Cricetulus griseus: one gene and its partners. The protein of the gene in region 1 purifies or fractionates together with the protein of each later gene. This does not show direct contact. Links are inferred from orthologs where the notes say so. Each region holds a gene or a part of one and is shown in the gene's direction. Other genes may lie near its edges.

Region 1 (4,392 bases):
GAAAGATCCTCAGTGTCACACTCAGAATTTCAAGGCTGTAGAGGATGATATATCAGACTTCAGGGTGATCTGGAGCAGGCTGGAGTGAGACAGGGGGAGAAGCTAGGCTAGTGGAAGCAGGACTCAGGCTCCATCCTTGGGAGGGAAGCTGCTGGAAAGGAGGGGCAGATTGAGAAGCTAGGAACACCGCTTTGCTGGCTTGCATCTGGAGGCTCCTGGAACCTGGAAGATGATGGCGGAGGAGGGTATGACTGGAAGGAACTCAGGGCAAATGGCGGATATCAGTGCATAAGAACAAAGGGCCTCAAGTGTACTGTAAAAATGAAACATGAGAAACCTCTTCATAGCTAAAGTCAGCCTTGCCACTGTTCAACCTTGAGCAGACAACCTCCTATTTCTGAGTTGCCATTTCTTCTGTAAAATGGGTTAGTAAACCTTGGTCACAGGATAGGTTCAGGATTCAACCGGAACGCCCAGCATTTCTAAAGCATGCAGGAGTGCTGGATCAATGGTAACTATTTTTGCGAGGACCGACCCGGGACGAACAAGCTCTAGAGCAGCTCCATGAAGGAGGGTCTTGGGTCTCATCCCTGCCTCGCAGACAACACAAGATCCAGGGTTTAGGCCTGAGCGTTGTTCGCTCTCCGCCTCCAGTGTCGCCGCGCCCCCTGGCGGCCGTCAGTTGCCATGTCAACGGCGGGTGGCTGAGACGACGGAGGTGGCAGCGGGGGCAGTTCTCCCTTCCCAGGGCCTCGGGCCGCTCCCTCGGCACTTCCCGCCTTCGCTTCACCGGGAGCACACTCTCAGTCCGGGAAGAAGGGGCATTCCGTGGCAGCTGGCACTGGGGGGTAAACTGAGGCACGCGGCAGGGCGCCGCAGGCAGGTGTCTAGTGCAGGGCCCCACCTCCAAAGGCAGAGGAGGGGCTGTGGCAGTGACGCGCCGAGGGCGGACGCTGGACTGGGAGCGGGTGGGCGGGAGGCGGCGCGGCGGCGGGCGGCAGGTGCGGCCGCGGAGGGTGGGAGGAAGAGGGAGGGGGCGGGCAGAGGGGAGGGAGGCCAGGACGGGCACCTCCCCCCTTATAACGCGCCCCGATCCGGGCTTTCGGGCAGACTCCTCGTCGGCTCTCCCGTCTCGACCCCTTGCCCGGCTGCCCCGGGCCGGGCTTGGACAGGGAGCTCCCGCCCCCACCTCCCCAGGCCTTCCTCCCCACCCGCCGCCCCGCGCAGCCCGGCGGAGGCGGCGCCGTCGGAGGAGGAGGAGCAGGGCACTGCGGCTGGCCCCGGATCGGGAGCCAGAGCGGCAGCAGCTTCGGCAGCAGCGCGGCCCGGGCCAATGCAGCGGGACGCACAGCCGCGAGCCCCAGCCCCAGCGCCACGGCTCCCTGCGCCCCGATCGGAGCCGCTAACAGCGCTGGCGGCGGCGGCGGCGGTGGCGGCGGGGGCAGTGGCGGCGGCGGAGGCTCCTCTGCAGCTCAGGCGCCCCCTGGCCTCTCGGGAACTACAAGTCCCAGGGGGCCTGGCGGCGGGCGGAGACAGGAAGAGGCAGGCTCGGCACCTCGAGGCCGGAAGTGGCCTTGGAGGCGGAAGTGGCGCGGCCGCGGAGGGGCCTGGAGTGTGGCGGGACCGGGAGCGGCGGGAGCTGCGGCTGCGGGCGGCGGCGGCGGCGGCGCGCTGGAGGCGGCCATGGCCAAGCAGTACGACTCAGTGGAATGCCCGTTTTGCGATGAGGTCACCAAATACGAAAAACTTGCCAAGATCGGCCAAGGCACATTCGGGTAAGAGTAGGCCGCATGGGGCCGGGAGCCCAGGACCTGCACTTTTCAGAGCAGAAGTCGGGACGCCCGGGGCCTGGGCCAAGATGGTCCTGAAGCTTCTCTTTCCCTGGTTATGGCCTGGTGCCGCTAGGCAGAGCCGCAGACGGTCCCGGCCTAACCGAGCGGACCAGCGGGGAGGAGCCTGAGGCCCGGGATGGGGGTGGGGTAGGGTTGCCGAGAGGCGCCCAGAATGTGAGCGGAATCTCTCAGAGACACTCCTGGGGGAGGATCAGGGGCCGCGGGGAGAGCGCGGAGCCTGGGAGGGAGGCCGAAAACCACGAGGTGCCGAGTAGCGGCGTACCGGAGTCTCAGGCGGCGCCCAGCCGAGTATCTGGCCTCCTGCTGCCCCTGTTCGCGTGGGGGAGGGGCGGGTCCTGCGGAAATGCCTCACGGGTTCTCTCGGGTCTTTCTCTGTGCCTGCAGGGAAGTGTTTAAAGCCAAGCACCGTCAGACGGGCCAGAAGGTGGCTCTGAAGAAAGTGTTGATGGAGAATGAGAAGGAGGGGGTGAGTATGGTTTACTAGGCATTCCTTCCTAACTGTGTTTCCACATTCCTGCGTCAAAGACTTTGGTGCTGAGATTTTGTTAATACCTAGTGTTCTGCGATTTTCCATGTAACAAGGAATTTGGCTTACCACTTTCAGTTTTGAGTGGCAAAGTTTGGCGGAGGCCACGTGAGGGAGCGTATACTTTGCATGCAGTGCAGGTTGACTCTAGAAGGCAAGCCTTTAATTCAAACGTCTTTAGCGCCGGGTGTGGTGGCACACGCCTTTAATCCCAGCACCTGGGAGGCAGAGGCAGGCAGATCTCTGTGAGTTCAAGGCCAGCCTGGTCTATAGAGTGAGTGCCAGGATAGGCTCCAAAGCTACACAGAGAAACCCTGTCTTGAAAACCAAAAAAAAAAAAAAGAAAGAAAATCCTTAGCTTAGCGTTTGATTTTTGTTCTGTGTGAAGAGACAGTGTGTGCACAGGTCTTTGAAAGGGTGACTAAGTTCAAGGTGCTGTTTTGCTGCCCCTCTCCAAAATCTGGGTAGTTTGTTTTCATGCGTGTCTGTGTACAAAAGCTTGCCTGCTGCTTGAGGAGGCCAGAAAGCTGTGTTGAATCCTTTGGGACTAGAGCTAAAAAAGGTTGCGAACCACCATGTGGGTGCTGAGAATTGAATCTGTGTCCTCCAGCTAGTGTTTTTTGTTTTTGAAATAGGGTCTTTGCATGAGTTTTGTTTGTTTGATGTAGGATATATCTGCTTAGCTCTGGCTGCCCTTGAATTCACTATGTGGAGCAAGCTGACCTCAAACTCACAGAGATCCAGCTGCCTCTACTGGGATTATAAAATGCTGGAATTAAAGGCGAGGGCCATTGGCCATCTCAGTTTCAGGAAATTTCTTATCTTAACCCACAAGTGTTAGTAACAGACTTAAAATCTGTGTTTGGATTGTCTAAAATGAATTCCTAGCCCAGCATATAGGCTTCTTATTACAATCCCTGGACTCAGGCTAAAGGACTAGAATTATTCACAAAACAAGTTCAAGGCCAACCTGATCTAGATGGTAAAATGAGACGTTTGTATTACTATAAATCTTTATATTGTGTACTTGTAATAGTATGCAAATCTTTTCTCTCCCCACCTCCCGAGGCAGGATCTCAACTATGTAATCCTGCTGTGTGTACTCCTGGGTAATGGGATTGGATTGCAGACAGGAACTATTACACAGAAACCATACTGTTGCTTGCCTTTCAGCCTCAGCCTCACCCTCAGCCAGTTCCTTGGTCCTTTGCACACTCGTTTTAACCACTTTTTCTCCTCCTTAGTTCCCTATTACAGCCTTGCGGGAAATCAAGATTCTACAGCTCCTGAAACACGAGAATGTGGTCAACCTAATTGAGATTTGTCGAACCAAAGGTGTGTTTGGATCTTGTGAGCAAATGAGGTTTACCAAGTAAGGCTGTTTGCACCCCTGAGGTGGATGTGCTTAAACTGCCTCTTCCCCGCTCAGATTAACCACACTGCTTCCTCTGGTCTTTTTTTTTTTTTTTCCCTTCATTGGAGTTGGTGCTTTTCGTGGGTATCTGTGGGAGGGTTGGAAGTTGGCTATGAAAAAATTAGGTGGGTATAGGTCTTTGACCTCTCCCCCCCCATTCTGTATCAGCTTCCCCCTATAACCGTTGCAAGGGCAGTATCTATCTGGTGTTTGACTTCTGTGAGCATGACCTTGCTGGGCTGCTGAGCAACGTCTTAGTAAAGTTCACGCTGTCTGAGATCAAGAGGGTGATGCAGATGCTGCTGAACGGCCTCTACTACATCCACAGGAACAAGGTGAGGGCTGGGAAGGAACTGGGGTTGCCACTGTCCTTTACTGCTGTGTGGATGGGTAAACCTGACTGAGCTCTCCTGTGTCTCCCTGCAGATCCTGCACAGGGACATGAAGGCGGCCAACGTGCTCATCACCCGGGATGGGGTCTTGAAGCTGGCAGATTTTGGGCTGGCCCGTGCCTTCAGCCTAGCCAAGAACAGCCAGCCCAACCGCTATACCAACCGAGTGGTGACATTGTGGTACCGGCCCCCAGAGCTGTTGCTCGG
Region 2 (3,649 bases), on another chromosome or scaffold:
AAGACTCCCAGGTTCAATACACAATTAGATGAGTTCTTAACCTGTATGACAGAGTTCTTAGGGCATAATATTCGCCCTGTTGAATTTTCCTTCCCTCTTGAGTGCTTACAATGAAGGCGTTAGTCCCTGAGGCCTACTCAAGGGCAAAAGTTCTCTAGATACCTGAATGTCCCAGTGTTCCTGGAGTTCCCCATGCATGGAGAAGAAGCCCACAAATTTTAGGGCCCTTAAGCGCCTGCCTGATATCTGTGCCTGTGGGTGGGTGGGGAGGTGTGTAGCTCAAACTGCATTATAGTAGTAATTTGGTACTGTGCTAGTTGGTGGCTTTTCCAGAGTGATAAGGAAAGTGCTTATCAAAGAACTTACAGCGTAAATTATATACATTTTCTCATGCTCTCACAGAAAACTGAATTATGAAAAACTAGAAATCAGAAATGTAATTTCTGCTTTTCATTGTGTCCTCCTGAATATGGGTTAGCACAGGATACCTACTCAGGCACTTGCATGTCCTGAATCATTCACCTCCTGCTGTTGTCTTCAGGAGCATGTTAGCCATGTTCCATCCAACATCAGTGCCTGCTGGTTTCGTGGTAGATTTCTTTGTGTTTGGCAGTATCTGGTGCTGGATTAACTCTTCCTGTTTTGATTTCTAGGGAGTTTGTTTTGATGTCCGCACTGAAGCAGTCACGGAAATACAGGTATTTCTTTTTTGTTTTAGTGTTGGTAGACCCAGATCATACAGTATTCATTCTGAAAGCAGAGTGACAGTGCGGGCCACAAAGAACAAACAGCCTTACTGTTTTTTTGTGACCTTGCTGCTGGCCTGCCTTGCTCCTCCCTGTAGTTGTACCCAGCGTCTGGCCCACTACTCTATGCTGAATGCTTTCCTGTGCACTTGGCATTGCTGTGACGAGTGTGTGCCTCAGACAGCTGCAGTGACTGCAGAGTGAGAGCCACCTCTCCACAGGTCCACACACATCTTTGGGGCCTTATACTAGCTTTTTTGTTTTGTTTTCATGGAAAGGGAGAGAGAGGGAGGAAAGACAGATCTGTCTGCCTCATCAGAGAGATGGCGGAAAAGAACCACTAGCAGCTTTGGGGGGGGGAGGGTTCGAGACAGAGTTTCTCTGTGTAGCTTTGGAGCCTATCCTGGCACTCACTCTGGAGACCAGGCTGGCCTGGAACTCACAGAGATCTGCCTCCCGAGTGCTGGGATTAAAGGCGTGCACCACCAACGCCCGGCTTTTTTTTTATTTATTTATTTGTCCTAGCAGCCTTTTAATCACCTGTTTGCAACTTGTTTCTTGGAAACATAAGTTTTTCTTGTAGTTTTACCAAATTTAATAAAACCATGGAACAAACCTTCTACCCACAGGAGAAGTGGCGTGATTCAAGACGCTGGCAGCTCACTGTGGCCACGGAGCAGCCGGAGCTGGAGGGACCCAAGGAAGGATATCGAGGCGGCAGGGGTCAGCGGGATGGCAGTCGCGGTGCCTTTAGAGGACAGCGGGGTGGAAGCAGGAACTTCAGGGGACAGGGGCAGCGAGGAGGAAGAGGGGGAAATAGAAACTTCAGAGGTGACAACAAAGGCCAGAAGCGGAGTTTCAGTAAAGCATTTGGTCCATGAGTAGAGACTAGAAGAAACTATTCACACTGTGGAGCCCAATGCTTCCTTCCTTTTGGATCATCTGCCCGGGCCCCAATCCTTGCAGAGACAGGCTTTGCAACTGTTTGATCTAACCATCATCAACTGTCTTCATTTTGAAGAGGGGTAGGAATTCACTGCAGCATTTTCCAAAGTAGTGAAGTAAAGCTAACCACGGATCTGCCTGTCCTTGTTTGTTGACTTTGCAAGTTCATCTTTGTGTGTTGTGCGTGCTCTAGAGCCTGAACTGAGCATGCACATGCCCTACAACTAAATTCTAAACTCCAAAGAAAGTCATTAAGAGGTGCCACAGTCTTTGGAGGACAACATAGTCAGGGCTTTTTCTTCCCCCTGATACTTGACCTGACAAACAACTGCTGGTGTCTGTATGTGTCTGCTGAGGTTTGATACTGAACAATGCTTTCCAAAGCTATTTCAGATAGTGTATATAAAACATTCTTATGGGAGCCAGTGTCTTTAAAGTTAAGTCCCAAGTGTGTGAAGTCTCTAGGTTTTTTCGGCAGAGATAAGACTGGATAAGTATTATCTGCTTGTGCCTTTCTTTTGGAAGAGTGATTTATCAAGAAGTGATTAAGAGAAGAGGGAGACTGGCTGGTATTACCAAAGAATGTTTCAGAGAAGCCACAAGAATGTTCTTCATCTTCACAAGTGAGGAGGCAGGCAGGAGGGAGGAAGCTTGCTTTGAATGCTGACCACGAGTCAAGGGACTGTATCTACCAGTGGGCAATCTAGTTTTTAAGGGTAAAAATGGGACGATTTTCTCAGTGGCCTAGATCTTAAGCCACAATGAAGATCTGTTTTGGTGGGTTGCTTTTCCATGGAAAAGTTAACACCGCTTAGAGAATTCTAAGACAAGCTACACCATTTGAAGTTGTTGATTTGCTGGAATTGAAGAACTCTATGGTACCTGGCCCAGTAATAACTGCCCACGTTCTCTGGTGTTCTTCCTCTGGCGAACCATCCTACCTAGCACAGAAGTTCATGTGGTGGGGTCCTCTTGCCTTCATAGAGATTCTGTACAGGGAAGCAACAGGCTTTGAAGGACAACCAGAATCACACGCTGCTGCATTTTCTCTGGTTGTTTAGATCAACTGAGATGGATCTTCTGAATGAGATGAATTTGATGTTAGTGTGAGCACTGCCACCTATCGGGTCTTATGGAACACCTGGCACCAAAGGGCTCTGATCACCAAATCCACTTCAGATTCAGCTTTGCCCTTGAGCTCTGACCAGATAGATGGTTCTTGTCCTCTGTGCTTGGAGTTCTTTTGAATACTTTCTTGGTTGATGACTATCTTATAATTAGTTTTGCTTTTGCCCAATTACTGGGCATGCTTTAGTGAAACATTTCACTATTAGGATAAGAATTTATGCCGTATCAAGCTGATGAAAGGACATGCTGGCTGTTCTTTCAGAAGGAGGGGCTGAAACCTTTTTTGGATTAGCCTGTAGAAAAATGATCTGCTAAGCAATGAGAAGATGAATAGGAATCCCATTTACACACCATAAGTAAACCATAGCTCTCTGAACAAATATAGGTTTCTTCTATGTCCTAGAATCTAAACTATTTATGTGTATAATTCAGCTGTTACTTGGCTTAAATAGGGTTATTGGAAAATGTTATCGTTTTTTACTATTTTCTACAGAGAAAATATTTTACAGTTTCAAATAACTCTGGACTTTTGGATTATATGTTCAAGCTGTCTATTGTTTCTCCTGCCATTGTACATAAAATGTTTTTACATTCAAATGAGTTGCTACTGTATAAAGTACTGCATTATGCCATAATAAAGATATTAATGCTTTATAGTTTTGGTGGCTTTTGTTTGCTAAACTGAAAATAGTGTGACATTTTTATTATAACAATGACTGTTAGGTATAAAAATATAGTAAAACCTGGGGCTAAGGTTGTAGAGGCTTGCCTCCCATGCATATTGCATTGGGGAGGTAGAAGCGGGCAGATCAGGGAAAGGTTAGCCTTAG
Region 3 (2,482 bases), on another chromosome or scaffold:
TTAGCTTCTAGGAGGGAGGGTGTGGGGGGTGAGGGTGGATCAGGAAATTATAACAGGCATGTTTTCCCACCCAGGTTTGTTCAGTACAAAGCAACTTCCTTGGAGAAACAGCACAAACATGACCTTCTGACTGAGCCAGACCTGGGGGTCACCATTGATCTCATCAACCCCGACACCTACCGCATTGATCCCAATGGTGTGTGGGGAGACAGGGAGGGTCTGCTGTAGGCCAGCAAAGACCAGGCCTGGGCATCCCTCACAGTCCTGCCCTCAATCCTTAGTTCTCCTGGATCCAGCTGATGAGAAGCTTTTGGAAGAGGAAATTCAGGCTCCCACCAGCTCTAAGAGGTGAGGTGGTGCCGGGTACTGGGTGGGCTCTGCCAAGCATGGGATCCTGAGGTGCCTGGTCTTCTACTCCAGATCCCAGCAGCATGCGAAGGTGGTGCCATGGATGCGGAAGACAGAGTATATCTCCACTGAGTTCAACAGATACGGTATTTCCAATGAGAAGCCTGAGGTCAAGTAAGTGACAGACAGGTTGTAAAGGGAGGGCAGGGGCCAAACTTTAGAGATGCCCAGAGGCCCCTAATGACCTTCTCTTCACTCCTAGGATTGGGGTTTCTGTGAAGCAGCAGTTCACAGAGGAAGAAATATACAAAGACAGGGACAGCCAGATCACGGCTATTGAGAAGACTTTTGAAGATGCCCAGAAATCGGTAATTGGGGGAATGGGATAAAAGCAAAAGTGTGGCTTGGGTTTTTCCTGTTTCTCACCCTTTTTGTTCTACCAGATCTCCCAGCATTACAGCAAGCCCCGAGTGACACCAGTGGAGGTCATGCCTGTCTTCCCAGATTTCAAGGTCAGGCTTGGGTGGGAGGCAGGGGCAAACTCCGTATGCCTATCCAGTCCAGACTAACTTCAGTCCTTCTGTTTCCCAGATGTGGATCAACCCTTGTGCTCAGGTCATTTTTGACTCAGACCCGGCCCCTAAGGACACGAGTGGAGCAGCTGCACTAGAGATGATGTCTCAGGCCATGATCAGGTCAGTGGTCCTGGTTCTTGTTGTCTCTCCCCCATTTGGGTGTATTTGAGATAGGGTATGATCCTGTTGCCCAGGCTGACCCCCAACTCCTGGCATTCCTCTTGCCTCAATTTACAGGCATGCATCACCATACCCAGCTGTTTTTGTTTTTTTCCCTTTCGTGTTTTTTTTTTTTTGGGGGGGGGGGGTTTCGAGACAGGGTTTCTGTGTGGCTTTGGATTGATCTCATCAACCCCGACACCTACCGCATTGATCCCAATGGTATGTGGGGAGACAGGGAGGCGAGCCTGTCCTGGAACTAGCTCTTGTAGACCAGGCTGGTCTCGAACTCACAGAGATCCACCTGCCTCAGCCTCCGGAGTGCTGGGATTACAGGCGTGCGCCACCAACGCCCGGCCCTTTCGTGTTTTTTGAGATAGAGTTTCTCTGTGGAACAGTTCTGGCTGTCTAGCTCAAGGTTTCTCTGTAGCTTTGGATACTGTCCTGGAACTTGCAGACCAGGCTGGCCTCAAACTCATAGAGATCCACCTGCCTCTGCCTCCCAAGCCCTGGGATTGAAGGTGTGCGCCACCACTGCCCTCTTTGTTACTTCTTTGCTCTCTTCTCCCCACAACCAGGGGCATGATGGATGAGGAAGGGAACCAGTTTGTGGCTTATTTTCTGCCTGTGGAAGAGACACTAAAGAAACGAAAACGGGACCAGGAGGAAGAGATGGACTATGCACCAGATGATGTGTAAGGGTTTAGTTTTTGGGAATTGAGAATATGTACCCTTTACTCCTCAGGAGCAAATGGGCTGACTCTGTGCCTCTACCTCAGGTATGACTACAAGATCGCTCGGGAATACAATTGGAATGTGAAGAACAAAGCCAGTAAGGGCTATGAGGAGAACTATTTCTTCATCTTCCGAGAGGGCGATGGGGTTTACTACAATGAGCTGGAGACCAGGTACTCAGCACTGTTTTATGAATCTGGCCCTGTATTTACTTTTTGGGTTTTTTTTTTTTTTTTTTTTGAGACAAGAGTTTCTCTGTGGCTTTGGAGGCTGTCCTGGAAGTAGCTCTTTTAGTTTTTCAAGATAGGGCTTCTCTCTGTAGTCTCTGCTGACCTTGAACTCACTCTGTAGACCAGGCTGGCCTCAAACTCAGAGATCCACCTGTCTCTGTCTCCTGAGTGTTGGGACTAAAGGTGTGCGCCAATAGTATTCTTCTGGCTCTGTGTTTTTGAGGCCACAGAAGAACTACCCTGAGGTCATTATGTACCTAAGGATCTGCTGCATGTACTTTGTGAGAGCAGCAGGAGCCTGCTTATGAATGTGGGCTTGACCTGACTCTGGTTCTAATACCATAAACCAGAAAAAAAAAAATCTTTACATAACACAGGATATAAACATGGTCATTTTTCTCACACATGCTAGGCAAGTGCCCTGCTATTAAGATA

What was found.
Region 2: the proteins of Cdk9 (region 1) and Ddx21 purify together in Homo sapiens (affinity purification with mass spectrometry; 3 studies listed by BioGRID and IntAct, with this or other methods). This does not show direct contact. The link is inferred for Cricetulus griseus from reciprocal best matches to the Homo sapiens genes CDK9 and DDX21.
Region 3: the proteins of Cdk9 (region 1) and Paf1 purify together in Homo sapiens (affinity purification with western blotting; 3 studies listed by BioGRID and IntAct, with this or other methods). This does not show direct contact. The link is inferred for Cricetulus griseus from reciprocal best matches to the Homo sapiens genes CDK9 and PAF1.

The regions. Positions count from the first base shown.
Region 1 is NC_048599.1:144,422,162-144,426,553, reverse strand, and holds the start of Cdk9 (cyclin-dependent kinase 9), read left to right. Parts: upstream 1-1,582; 5' UTR 1,583-1,683; coding exon 1,684-1,775; intron 1,776-2,237; coding exon 2,238-2,319; intron 2,320-3,623; coding exon 3,624-3,714; intron 3,715-3,961; coding exon 3,962-4,128; intron 4,129-4,219; coding exon 4,220-4,391; intron 4,392-4,392. UniProt on the Homo sapiens protein: Protein kinase involved in the regulation of transcription.
Region 2 is NW_023276806.1:274,619,023-274,622,671, forward strand, and holds the end of Ddx21 (nucleolar RNA helicase 2), read left to right. Parts: intron 1-653; coding exon 654-698; intron 699-1,375; coding exon 1,376-1,627; 3' UTR 1,628-3,475; downstream 3,476-3,649.
Region 3 is NC_048602.1:7,491,001-7,493,482, reverse strand, and holds part of Paf1 (RNA polymerase II-associated factor 1 homolog), read left to right. Parts: intron 1-74; coding exon 75-196; intron 197-281; coding exon 282-348; intron 349-420; coding exon 421-522; intron 523-610; coding exon 611-716; intron 717-791; coding exon 792-860; intron 861-939; coding exon 940-1,043; intron 1,044-1,660; coding exon 1,661-1,777; intron 1,778-1,861; coding exon 1,862-1,990; intron 1,991-2,482. UniProt on the Homo sapiens protein: Component of the PAF1 complex (PAF1C) which has multiple functions during transcription by RNA polymerase II and is implicated in regulation of development and maintenance of embryonic stem cell pluripotency.